Saccharomyces cerevisiae S288C: one gene and its partners. Changing the gene in region 2 together with the main gene of any one other region gives a genetic interaction. Each region holds a gene or a part of one and is shown on either strand. Other genes may lie near its edges.

Region 1 (3,139 bases), on a different chromosome or scaffold from region 2:
AGTGTCGATTTTTTTCAATTGAACGTTAAGAGTGTCCAATTTCTTGTCTCTAACGGAGACATCTGGGCGCTTGAACTTGTGTTGTTGGGAGGACATGGCAATGGCTGTGTTGTTAGAAAATATGCTATTACGTTGATAAAAGGAGGAAAGGTGAAATCAGTTCAAAAATGTGAATGAAACTGAACGAAGAAATGACCAGAATGAGTGAAAAATGGAGATGGAGGGGCAAAATGAAAAAAAAAAAAAGGATGAACCTAAAATAGAAAATAGACTCCGTCGTACTTTAATGCTATGTATAACGCAACCAAGCAATTTTCGAAACTCAATTTGGCTTATAAATGTTCGAGATAAAATGCGAATTACGTGTTCAACGTCGTCGAGATCAGTTATTTTTTTTCACCGCCACAGTGCGGGTAAGCAATTTTTCGCGTACCACCACCATTACACATGTATAATGTATATAGGCTTATTATGTATGTTTGTGCTACTTTATATGACGGTTATTTACAAGTTAGAATATTATCTATTAACAATGCAGTAGCCACGCTTACGTTTAGTGAGTCAACAATGGGTTCTGGGGCCCGATTGCCTTTCTCAATGCCACCAAAGGGAATTTCGACGAAGAAGTCACTCCTCATCTTCAAATTCGTTCTTACGCCCTGGCTTTCGTTCCCCACCACTAGAACAACAGGCAGCTCGTTACATAATCCGTTCAAATCGTGCATGCTAATAGTTTTTCCAACAGTGTATTTTTCTGACGTGGCATTAGCTAAGTGGCTTGTAATAAACGTCCAGCCACCCATTTCTTGTGATTTAGTAAAAAACTCTAACGGTTTATCAACGTAAAATATGGGCAGAAGTTCGAGGGCCCCACTGCTTGTCTTGGACACCACAGGCGTCAAAGGAGAGCAGTTTCTTCTCGACATCACAATGAAGTCAACCCCCAGGAAGTAAGCGCTTCTAATAATGGCACCGATATTGTGAGGGTCAGTTATTTCATCCAGATATAACCCGAGAGGAAACTTCTTAGCGTCTGTTTTCGTACCATAAGGCAGTTCATGAGGTATATTTTCGTTATTGAAGCCCAGCTCGTGAATGCTTAATGCTGCTGAACTGGTGTCCATGTCGCCTAGGTACGCAATCTCCACAGGCTGCAAAGGTTTTGTCTCAAGAGCAATGTTATTGTGCACCCCGTAATTGGTCAACAAGTTTAATCTGTGCTTGTCCACCAGCTCTGTCGTAACCTTCAGTTCATCGACTATCTGAAGAAATTTACTAGGAATAGTGCCATGGTACAGCAACCGAGAATGGCAATTTCTACTCGGGTTCAGCAACGCTGCATAAACGCTGTTGGTGCCGTAGACATATTCGAAGATAGGATTATCATTCATAAGTTTCAGAGCAATGTCCTTATTCTGGAACTTGGATTTATGGCTCTTTTGGTTTAATTTCGCCTGATTCTTGATCTCCTTTAGCTTCTCGACGTGGGCCTTTTTCTTGCCATATGGATCCGCTGCACGGTCCTGTTCCCTAGCATGTACGTGAGCGTATTTCCTTTTAAACCACGACGCTTTGTCTTCATTCAACGTTTCCCATTGTTTTTTTCTACTATTGCTTTGCTGTGGGAAAAACTTATCGAAAGATGACGACTTTTTCTTAATTCTCGTTTTAAGAGCTTGGTGAGCGCTAGGAGTCACTGCCAGGTATCGTTTGAACACGGCATTAGTCAGGGAAGTCATAACACAGTCCTTTCCCGCAATTTTCTTTTTCTATTACTCTTGGCCTCCTCTAGTACACTCTATATTTTTTTATGCCTCGGTAATGATTTTCATTTTTTTTTTTCCACCTAGCGGATGACTCTTTTTTTTTCTTAGCGATTGGCATTATCACATAATGAATTATACATTATATAAAGTAATGTGATTTCTTCGAAGAATATACTAAAAAATGAGCAGGCAAGATAAACGAAGGCAAAGATGACAGAGCAGAAAGCCCTAGTAAAGCGTATTACAAATGAAACCAAGATTCAGATTGCGATCTCTTTAAAGGGTGGTCCCCTAGCGATAGAGCACTCGATCTTCCCAGAAAAAGAGGCAGAAGCAGTAGCAGAACAGGCCACACAATCGCAAGTGATTAACGTCCACACAGGTATAGGGTTTCTGGACCATATGATACATGCTCTGGCCAAGCATTCCGGCTGGTCGCTAATCGTTGAGTGCATTGGTGACTTACACATAGACGACCATCACACCACTGAAGACTGCGGGATTGCTCTCGGTCAAGCTTTTAAAGAGGCCCTAGGGGCCGTGCGTGGAGTAAAAAGGTTTGGATCAGGATTTGCGCCTTTGGATGAGGCACTTTCCAGAGCGGTGGTAGATCTTTCGAACAGGCCGTACGCAGTTGTCGAACTTGGTTTGCAAAGGGAGAAAGTAGGAGATCTCTCTTGCGAGATGATCCCGCATTTTCTTGAAAGCTTTGCAGAGGCTAGCAGAATTACCCTCCACGTTGATTGTCTGCGAGGCAAGAATGATCATCACCGTAGTGAGAGTGCGTTCAAGGCTCTTGCGGTTGCCATAAGAGAAGCCACCTCGCCCAATGGTACCAACGATGTTCCCTCCACCAAAGGTGTTCTTATGTAGTGACACCGATTATTTAAAGCTGCAGCATACGATATATATACATGTGTATATATGTATACCTATGAATGTCAGTAAGTATGTATACGAACAGTATGATACTGAAGATGACAAGGTAATGCATCATTCTATACGTGTCATTCTGAACGAGGCGCGCTTTCCTTTTTTCTTTTTGCTTTTTCTTTTTTTTTCTCTTGAACTCGAGAAAAAAAATATAAAAGAGATGGAGGAACGGGAAAAAGTTAGTTGTGGTGATAGGTGGCAAGTGGTATTCCGTAAGAACAACAAGAAAAGCATTTCATATTATGGCTGAACTGAGCGAACAAGTGCAAAATTTAAGCATCAACGACAACAACGAGAATGGTTATGTTCCTCCTCACTTAAGAGGAAAACCAAGAAGTGCCAGAAATAACAGTAGCAACTACAATAACAACAACGGCGGCTACAACGGTGGCCGTGGCGGTGGCAGCTTCTTTAGCAACAACCGTCGTGGTGGTTACGGC
Region 2 (3,924 bases):
GAACGTTGATTTGGAAATCAGTAGAATGACCAACTCTTATTTTGCTGAGTACGGAACTGATGATTTCCGGGGACGCTAGTTCGTAAACAATCAATAACAGGTCCTCCTTGATCTCGTCACAAAGATTCTTCTTATCTTGTTGCGATAAATATATTCTTGTATTTGGTGATTTTAAGCAGATTATGGAGTTATTTGATAATAATGGTGCTTCAAATATAGTGGCATTCGACTTATTGCTAGTCTTATCATTGGTTTGAAGGATCTGCTTTCTATTGACAAATATACGTAATGGCAAAACCATGTCCCTGGCTATCTTTACCGTTGCTATACTTGGTGCCATTTTTCACGGTTACTGTGAAGTCCAATATACTCAATCTTCTTGTATTCTTCCCTTTCAGGCCTGTCCTTTTCTATTTCATTGCCCTTTTTTCCACTCATCTTTCCACTTGATTAAAAATACCAGAAGAAGCACATTTTTACATTTATACGTTACATATGAAAAAATCACAGGATCATTTTTTGATATACAAATACTATTTTTTATTTATGCGATACTAGATGCTTGAAGGTATAGCATATGACGATGATGATAATTAAAAAGACAATATCAAGGGCCTCGTTGCGGTATTTAGATGCGAATGTTACATTTTTTTTGGATATCATTAAGGAATTCTCCAAAGACAATAAACTTTCCATTTTCCTCATTACTTCCTTCCTAGAGGCCAACCTGTCTTTGCAAGAAGCCATTCTTTTCTCTAAATCTTGTAATTTTGCCACGTTTGTATTTATTGTATCACTCAAACGTGCCTCAAATGATTCGGGGTTTTCCTTGTCAAAATCCTGTTTCAAATTCATTAAATAATCCTCTTCAACAAGCTCTTTCCATCCAATGGTCCTGGATCTTAAGTCCCTTAGCTCTTTAACGATCTTGTCAAAATTTGCAATGTTTTTAACAAGGTCATTTTCATCTTTCAGAACCTCATCTTTCAAACTGTGCTTTAGTAAAGCTTCTGTCTGCTGTAACTGCAATCCGATATGACGCTGATAGTAGTCTAATTCATCTGAATTTAGCGAAAGATTCGAACTACTATATGTGATATTTCCAGGAGGTTCAAGAGGATCAACAGCCACTGACTGTGAGAATGACGTCGATGATGAAGACGATGAAGAAGAAGACAACGAAGATGAGGACGACTGCGAAAACGATGCATTGCAGGCGTCTTTTGGCGAAAGCCCAATGGGATTAGCAACGGCAGGAGAGGATTCGGAAGCTACAGAGGGCGGTCTTGAGGGCGAAACATGTTTCTTTGGTGAGCTTTCAAGATCATGGTAAAGCAAGCTCTGTAACGATATATCTGTCTGCGTGCTAGAACTCCCGTCTGATGAATGCGAATGATGTGTGGGTCGCTTGGAAGGCTTAGATATAACATTGGGCAATATTGGATCGAAAGCCGGCGCCAGTGCAGACGAATCCTTAGATTGCCCAGACGAAGAAGGCTCCATGGATTTCAAAAACCGGTGAACCAACCTTTTCTTGTCCTTCACGAAGGACCGGGAAGGTGATTTAAGACCGTACTTGTCGTTGTCTTTGTAATGGCGATGGGCTGGGTGCTGCTGGGCTTGCAACATCTTAAATGAGGGAAAATGGTCTTTGGCAGAGTATCCACCATCGAGAGGCTTTGATTCTACACTATGCTGCGGGAATGGTCCTTTAAAGGTGGCGACTACGTTAAATGGGTGTTTTGGCGAGAGTCCAGAAGACTTCATCGTACTGAGACTTCGTACTTTATCTGGTGCTGCGTTGAACATACAATCGCTGAACATTGCGGTCGAGGCAGACGTGTAATCCGGAATAACTTGACGATGCAGTTTATGACGAGCATGATGGTGCTCCATTTCATATTTCTGCTCTTTTTCGTGTAATGCAGCCAAATTACTGTGAGAGGCTTGCCATCCAACGTTTGGCTTAGTTTCAACAGTAGATTTGTGGCCAACATCTGGTGTTCCAGCGTCAATCATTTGCTTTACATCTTCCAGGGGTCTCTTTTCTACACCATCTTTGCTATTGCGATCTGTACCATCTATTCCGCTGCCTTTAGAAGAGCTCTTTATTTGAGCATTTTGCATTGTACCTGGACAACTACTGGACTACGTAAAAAACTGCCATCAATTTGTGTTATTCTTACTCTTTGAGACAATGTTTCATAACAATAGAACAATAGCTTTTTGACCTTCCCCTTATTTTATTTCAAAAGGTAACAGTTAGGGCTATTCTTAAACTTTCTTTAGGGTACACAATGAAAACATCAAGATTGAGTTAAAACCCTTAAAATAAAACTAGGTCTTTAAGAAACTCACTCTCCGGGTTATCCATAGAATGTTTACCATTCTTTAGGGTTCTGAACTAATGCGAAAAAAAAAAAAGAAAAGACTGAAAAATTCGAAAATATCTCGAAGTTTAGCAGTAGTAGATGAGAATAGGGTCTCTTTTATCGAAAACCTGCAATTGTAATACAACCTTTTTTTGAAAGTCAGCCTTTATTCTGATTCTGCATACTCAATTCCTCAATTCCTACGGAGTTATCACCTTTTTTTTTACCTTCTCTTCTTTTCTTATTGTTCTAGCTGAAAACATTGTTACCAGTTTGGCGAGACAATTTATTTTCAATACGATACCCTTTTGTTCTTCTTTTTATAATTCAATCTAATTCTAAAACACAAAAAAACAAAAAAAATCCTATAACCAGTTCTCCCGCATGTCATTTGAAGTAGGAACTAAGTGTTGGTACCCTCACAAAGAACAAGGCTGGATAGGCGGCGAAGTCACCAAGAATGACTTCTTTGAAGGAACGTTCCACTTAGAGTTGAAATTGGAGGATGGAGAAACTGTATCCATTGAAACAAATAGCTTCGAAAATGATGATGATCATCCCACGCTACCTGTACTACGAAACCCACCTATTTTAGAGTCTACTGATGACTTAACCACCCTATCATATCTGAACGAACCGGCAGTGCTGCATGCCATAAAAAAAAGATACATGAATGGACAGATATATACTTACTCTGGTATTGTCCTTATTGCCGCTAATCCCTTTGATAAAGTCGACCATTTGTACTCTCGCGAGATGATACAGAATTATTCTAGTAAGCGTAAAGATGAGCTGGAGCCGCACCTTTTTGCCATAGCAGAGGAGGCGTACAGGTTCATGGTCCATGAAAAGGCTAACCAGACTGTTGTAGTCAGTGGTGAATCCGGTGCTGGTAAGACCGTCTCTGCTAAATACATTATGAGATACTTTGCCTCAGTCCAAGAAAGCAACAATCGTGAAGGGGAAGTGGAAATGTCTCAAATCGAGAGCCAAATTTTAGCTACTAACCCGATCATGGAAGCCTTTGGTAACGCCAAAACTACCAGAAATGATAATTCCTCTCGTTTCGGCAAATATCTGCAAATTTTATTTGATGAGAATACTACCATCAGGGGGTCCAAAATTAGAACCTATCTCTTGGAAAAATCCAGGTTAGTTTATCAGCCAGAGACAGAAAGAAATTACCATATTTTTTACCAAATTTTGGAAGGATTGCCAGAACCGGTAAAACAAGAACTGCATTTGTCATCTCCCAAGGACTACCATTATACTAACCAAGGTGGACAGCCGAACATAGCTGGTATAGATGAAGCTCGAGAATACAAGATAACCACTGATGCCCTGTCATTAGTAGGTATAAACCACGAGACTCAGCTTGGAATTTTCAAAATTCTTGCAGGCTTGCTACATATAGGTAATATCGAGATGAAAATGACTAGAAACGACGCATCACTATCATCGGAAGAGCAAAACCTGCAAATCGCATGTGAATTATTGGGTATTGATCCCTTCAATTTTGCAAAATGGATTGTCAAGAAACAAATCGTCACAA
Region 3 (4,022 bases), on a different chromosome or scaffold from region 2:
CCGTTGATCTTGGTGTCACCGCCTTGGTTCATGTAGAAGTAATCTGAGGCATCGGTAAGATGCAATTCCTCCTTGGTTTGAGCTGGTAATCCAGCCATTAATTGATAAAATATGTGGTAGTTTCTCTCAATTGGCGGCTGGTAAACTAATCTGGACCGTTCCAACAAGTATGTGCGGATCCTTGCTCCAATAATAGATGTGTCCTTATCGAATAAAATTTCTAGATACTTACCAAATCTGGAAGAATTGTCATTTCTGGTAGTCTTAGCATTACCAAATGCTTCCATGATAGGGTTTGTAGCTAGAATCTTTTGTTCTGTTTCCGACATTTCCACTTGATGTTGTACAGTAGCGGAATTTTCCTCTTCTACAGAAGCAAAATAACGCATAATATACTTGGCAGAAACCGTTTTTCCAGCACCAGATTCACCACTTACCACAATGGTTTGATTTTGTTTGTCATTTTTCATCAACCTATACGCTTCTTCGGCAATGGCAAACAAGTGAGGTTCCAGTTCACCTCTGCGCTTTCCCGCATATGCTTGGATCATGTCTTGTGTATAAAGCTGGTCGACACGATCAAAAGGGTTTGTAGCAATCAGAACAATACCCGAGTATGTGTAGATATTCAATTGAGAATAGCGCTGTTTGATGGCATGTAAAACAGCTGGCTCATTCAAGTAAGATAAAGAGGTCAAATCTTCCGTTGCTTCCAAAATGGGAGGGTTTCTAAGAAGCGGTAGAGATTGGTCCTTATCGTTATTCAAGTCTTTTGTGTCCACGGACACGATTTCATCGTCTTCCAATTGTAACTCCAGGTGGTACTTGCCGTCGTTGAACTCATTTTTGATTACTTCCGCCCCAATCCAGCCCAATTCTTTATGGGGATACCAGCATCGTGTACCCACTTCAAAAGACATTATACGCTGTAATATCTGCTGTTTTTATGTCCTATATGTACAATGGTATAAGTATCGCTGTCCAATGGAATGGTGTCGAATAGTACCTTAGAAAACAAAAAACAAGCAAGCAGCCAGAAATCGAACGAATAATTTCAAGCGAGAAAAGTGAAATGACTTTGCGAGACTTTTTTGTTCTCTGATTGGCCTTGCAAAGTTGATAGATCTCTGAAACGCAGGCTACGAATCGTATCAAATGAAGGCGTGTTTGGGATTTCTGATATTTGGCTTTTCGAGAAGCGCGATCATAAACAAAAAAAAGGAAAAAATCACAAAATAGCCCTGGGTCGGGTAATAGTTTTTGCCCTACGTTTTCGTAAATGTGTCACTAGGTGCAATTGCCAATAATTAATTGTAACCTACTCAATATCTATTTTAGCCCTACATACGTTAGGGTCGAAAATCTGTTGGGGTTTTGGTTTTAACAGCGTAAACTAAACCAGATAAGCATCGAGAAACGGCGCTTGGCACATCGTATATCAACAAGACAAACCAGTGACCGGAGTTCTGAGGCGTCTTCGAGCCTATTTATTTATTGATCTGGGTCGGATAGTTCACCCTATTTGTGGAGGAAAAGACCTTCCCATATCTAAATTTTTTTTTTTTTTTGGTTTAAGTTATAGTTGATACATTAAGTGAAAATGAACTTGCTAATTGACCGGATGGAGAATCCCGGATCGAGGAACTGTACCCTGTTACCTCCTTCATTCCCAAGAGGCTTTTGTAAGGGAAGAAGGGCTTCCAGTGGCGACGCAGTGAAGATAAAAGAATCCGGTCTACAGCCGCAGCCGCAGCCGGAACCTCTACAAGCTAAAACAAATGTTGCACACTTTTCGAAATCATCTTCTAGATTACCTGTCATAGCAGTGAATGATAATCCGGTGGTCCCAAGACCAAGCACTGAAGTAAACTTGGGATCGTTGTTACAAAAGGAAAGGGAGAAAGAAAAGGAGGAACAGCCTGCGCTGCATGATAGGAGACATTTATATGTGACAAAGAATAGGGCACATGGGGTACGACAACGTTCATTGGAAATGACTAGCTTACCTGTCCTGGGATCGACCAAAACCGGGAAGTTTAGCGATTTTTTGTTTGAAGATGACATCGATAACAGAGTAGGTCGACACAGTAGATCATATAGTGGGGCATCCAGTTTGGATGATCCATTCAGAGTGTCGCCGAAAACCGACTTCAACTCTAATAGGGCCAGATTGTCTTGCCTTAGTAAAGGACGTCGTGGTTCGATGTCCGTTTTCCAAAGCTGTCATACTGGGCTAGCTTTCAATCAAATACAGGGTTCCTCCTCTTCGCAACGTAGATCATCCGCTGGTTCTTTTGATTATGAGAGGAAACGATTGGTTAACCAATTTTTACAGCCTTCTTTGGGAAATTCAGACCCATTTGATACGTTGAGGGAGTCGGTAGTGTTTGAGCCCTCATCCACCGCTGGCGGCATTAAATTAGGGAATATGCATTCTCAATCACAAATTTCCGTAAACTCCTCCCCCAGCACATCTTTGTTTTATCATGATTTGGACGGTTCTGCTGTCAACGATTCTTCGTCATTTCTGTATTCCCGTTCTAATGTACCAGCATTTTTGTCGTCATCAGCCTTTTCGTCCACGTCATCCACCTCATCAGATTCAGAAGATGTGGATAGAAGAAGTTTAAACGGTGTATATCCCTCTTTAGGATATTTGACTAACCAGAGGAAACCAAGGAATTCATCAGGCTCTTCCACTGCACCTGGCACCGATACCTTGGGATTTAAGTATTTACTGAATAGGCAGAAGTCAGCGGATTCTTCCACTAGGTTCAAGAGTGTACTGAAGGTGAACAATAATAATGGCTCCGCAGCCACTCCTGATTCTAGCTCAAACTCTATTTCGAAGAGCAACTCAAATTTGAATGATAACATTGATGAATTGAATTATTATCAAAATCATATTTCGACACTTCTAGTGAAGATCGAGAATGAGATGAGAAGAAATTTAAACGATACAATAATCAAGAATGAAAACAACGTTCAAAAAACTATCCAAAAGTATGATCTTCTATCAGGAGAGTTAACCCTTTTATTAGACGAAATGACCACCTTGCGAACCACGGTGATTAATCAATTCTTGGTCAAGTTGAAATCAGACTTTGACGAGGATGACAATAAGGCGTTTATTAATGAATTAAAGATATCAGTCGAAGAAAGTGTAGCGCAATTACAAGGATTGGAAAGGAGAATGGAGGTTTGCCAAGAGAGATTAAATAAACAAAAGTCCTCTCTAAGGGAAATGGATAGTTTGATAGAGCTGAAAAACGTGTTAAATAAATCGAAGAACAACACGAAATCCATCTACCTGTATAGGTATTTCATCATTGACATTATTGCATTTCTTTTGATGGGCGGCTTTATCGTTTACGTCAAGAATTTGTTAACTCGTTTTTTTACTCGTTAAAAAGTCAAAACAAGGTCACTTTACAAAAATGGTACGCGTACAAAGATAAAATCACCTCTGAACATAATAATATACATCTATATACATATATATATATATATATATCACACATCAATCAACGCGCATGGACATTTGAATCAATGGGGCAGGAAAGGCGATGCAGTGGCCAAATTTCTTTGTTCATTTGTGGCGTTGGGTCAATGAGTCAAAAAATGAAAAAAGTCGACAGACGTTTTTCAAAAAGCTTCAAGAAAAGAAGAGAAAAAGTAAAAGCGTATTGGTAAAAAGAGTAAGAACAAAAAGGAGCACAGGCAACCAATATAAAGATGTCCAGTTCACAACAAATAGCCAAAAATGCCCGTAAAGCAGGGAATATTTTGAAAACCATCTCAAACGAGGGCAGATCAGATATTTTATACAAAATTCACGATGCCCTGAAGGCTAATGCGCATGCCATTGAAGAAGCGAATAAAATCGATTTAGCTGTTGCCAAAGAGACTGGCCTAGCGGATTCTTTATTGAAACGTCTCGACCTATTTAAAGGGGACAAATTTGAAGTTATGTTACAAGGTATTAAGGATGTAGCCGAACTAGAAGACCCTGTTGGCAAGGT

The links.
Region 1: of FRT2 (region 2) and HIS3, extra expression of one rescues a mutant of the other (dosage rescue), as found in Saccharomyces cerevisiae (one study listed by BioGRID).
Region 3: mutations in FRT2 (region 2) and FRT1 are lethal when combined (synthetic lethality), as found in Saccharomyces cerevisiae (2 studies listed by BioGRID, with this or other methods).

The regions. Positions count from the first base shown.
Region 1 is NC_001147.6:719,970-723,108, forward strand, and holds HIS3 (imidazoleglycerol-phosphate dehydratase HIS3), read left to right. Parts: upstream 1-1,976; coding exon 1,977-2,639; downstream 2,640-3,139. Other genes in the region: BFR1 (Bfr1p), read right to left, coding at 1-96; MRM1 (Mrm1p), read right to left, coding at 501-1,739; DEAD-box ATP-dependent RNA helicase DED1, read left to right, coding at 2,942-3,139.
Region 2 is NC_001133.9:91,103-95,026, reverse strand, and holds FRT2 (Frt2p), read right to left. Parts: upstream 2,128-3,924; coding exon 541-2,127; downstream 1-540. Other genes in the region: DNA-binding protein SAW1, read right to left, coding at 1-340; MYO4 (myosin 4), read left to right, coding at 2,757-3,924. UniProt on the Saccharomyces cerevisiae protein: Required for growth under high NaCl, alkaline pH and cell wall stress.
Region 3 is NC_001147.6:922,619-926,640, reverse strand, and holds FRT1 (Frt1p), read left to right. Parts: upstream 1-1,600; coding exon 1,601-3,409; downstream 3,410-4,022. Other genes in the region: MYO2 (myosin 2), read right to left, coding at 1-920; PRO2 (glutamate-5-semialdehyde dehydrogenase), read left to right, coding at 3,736-4,022.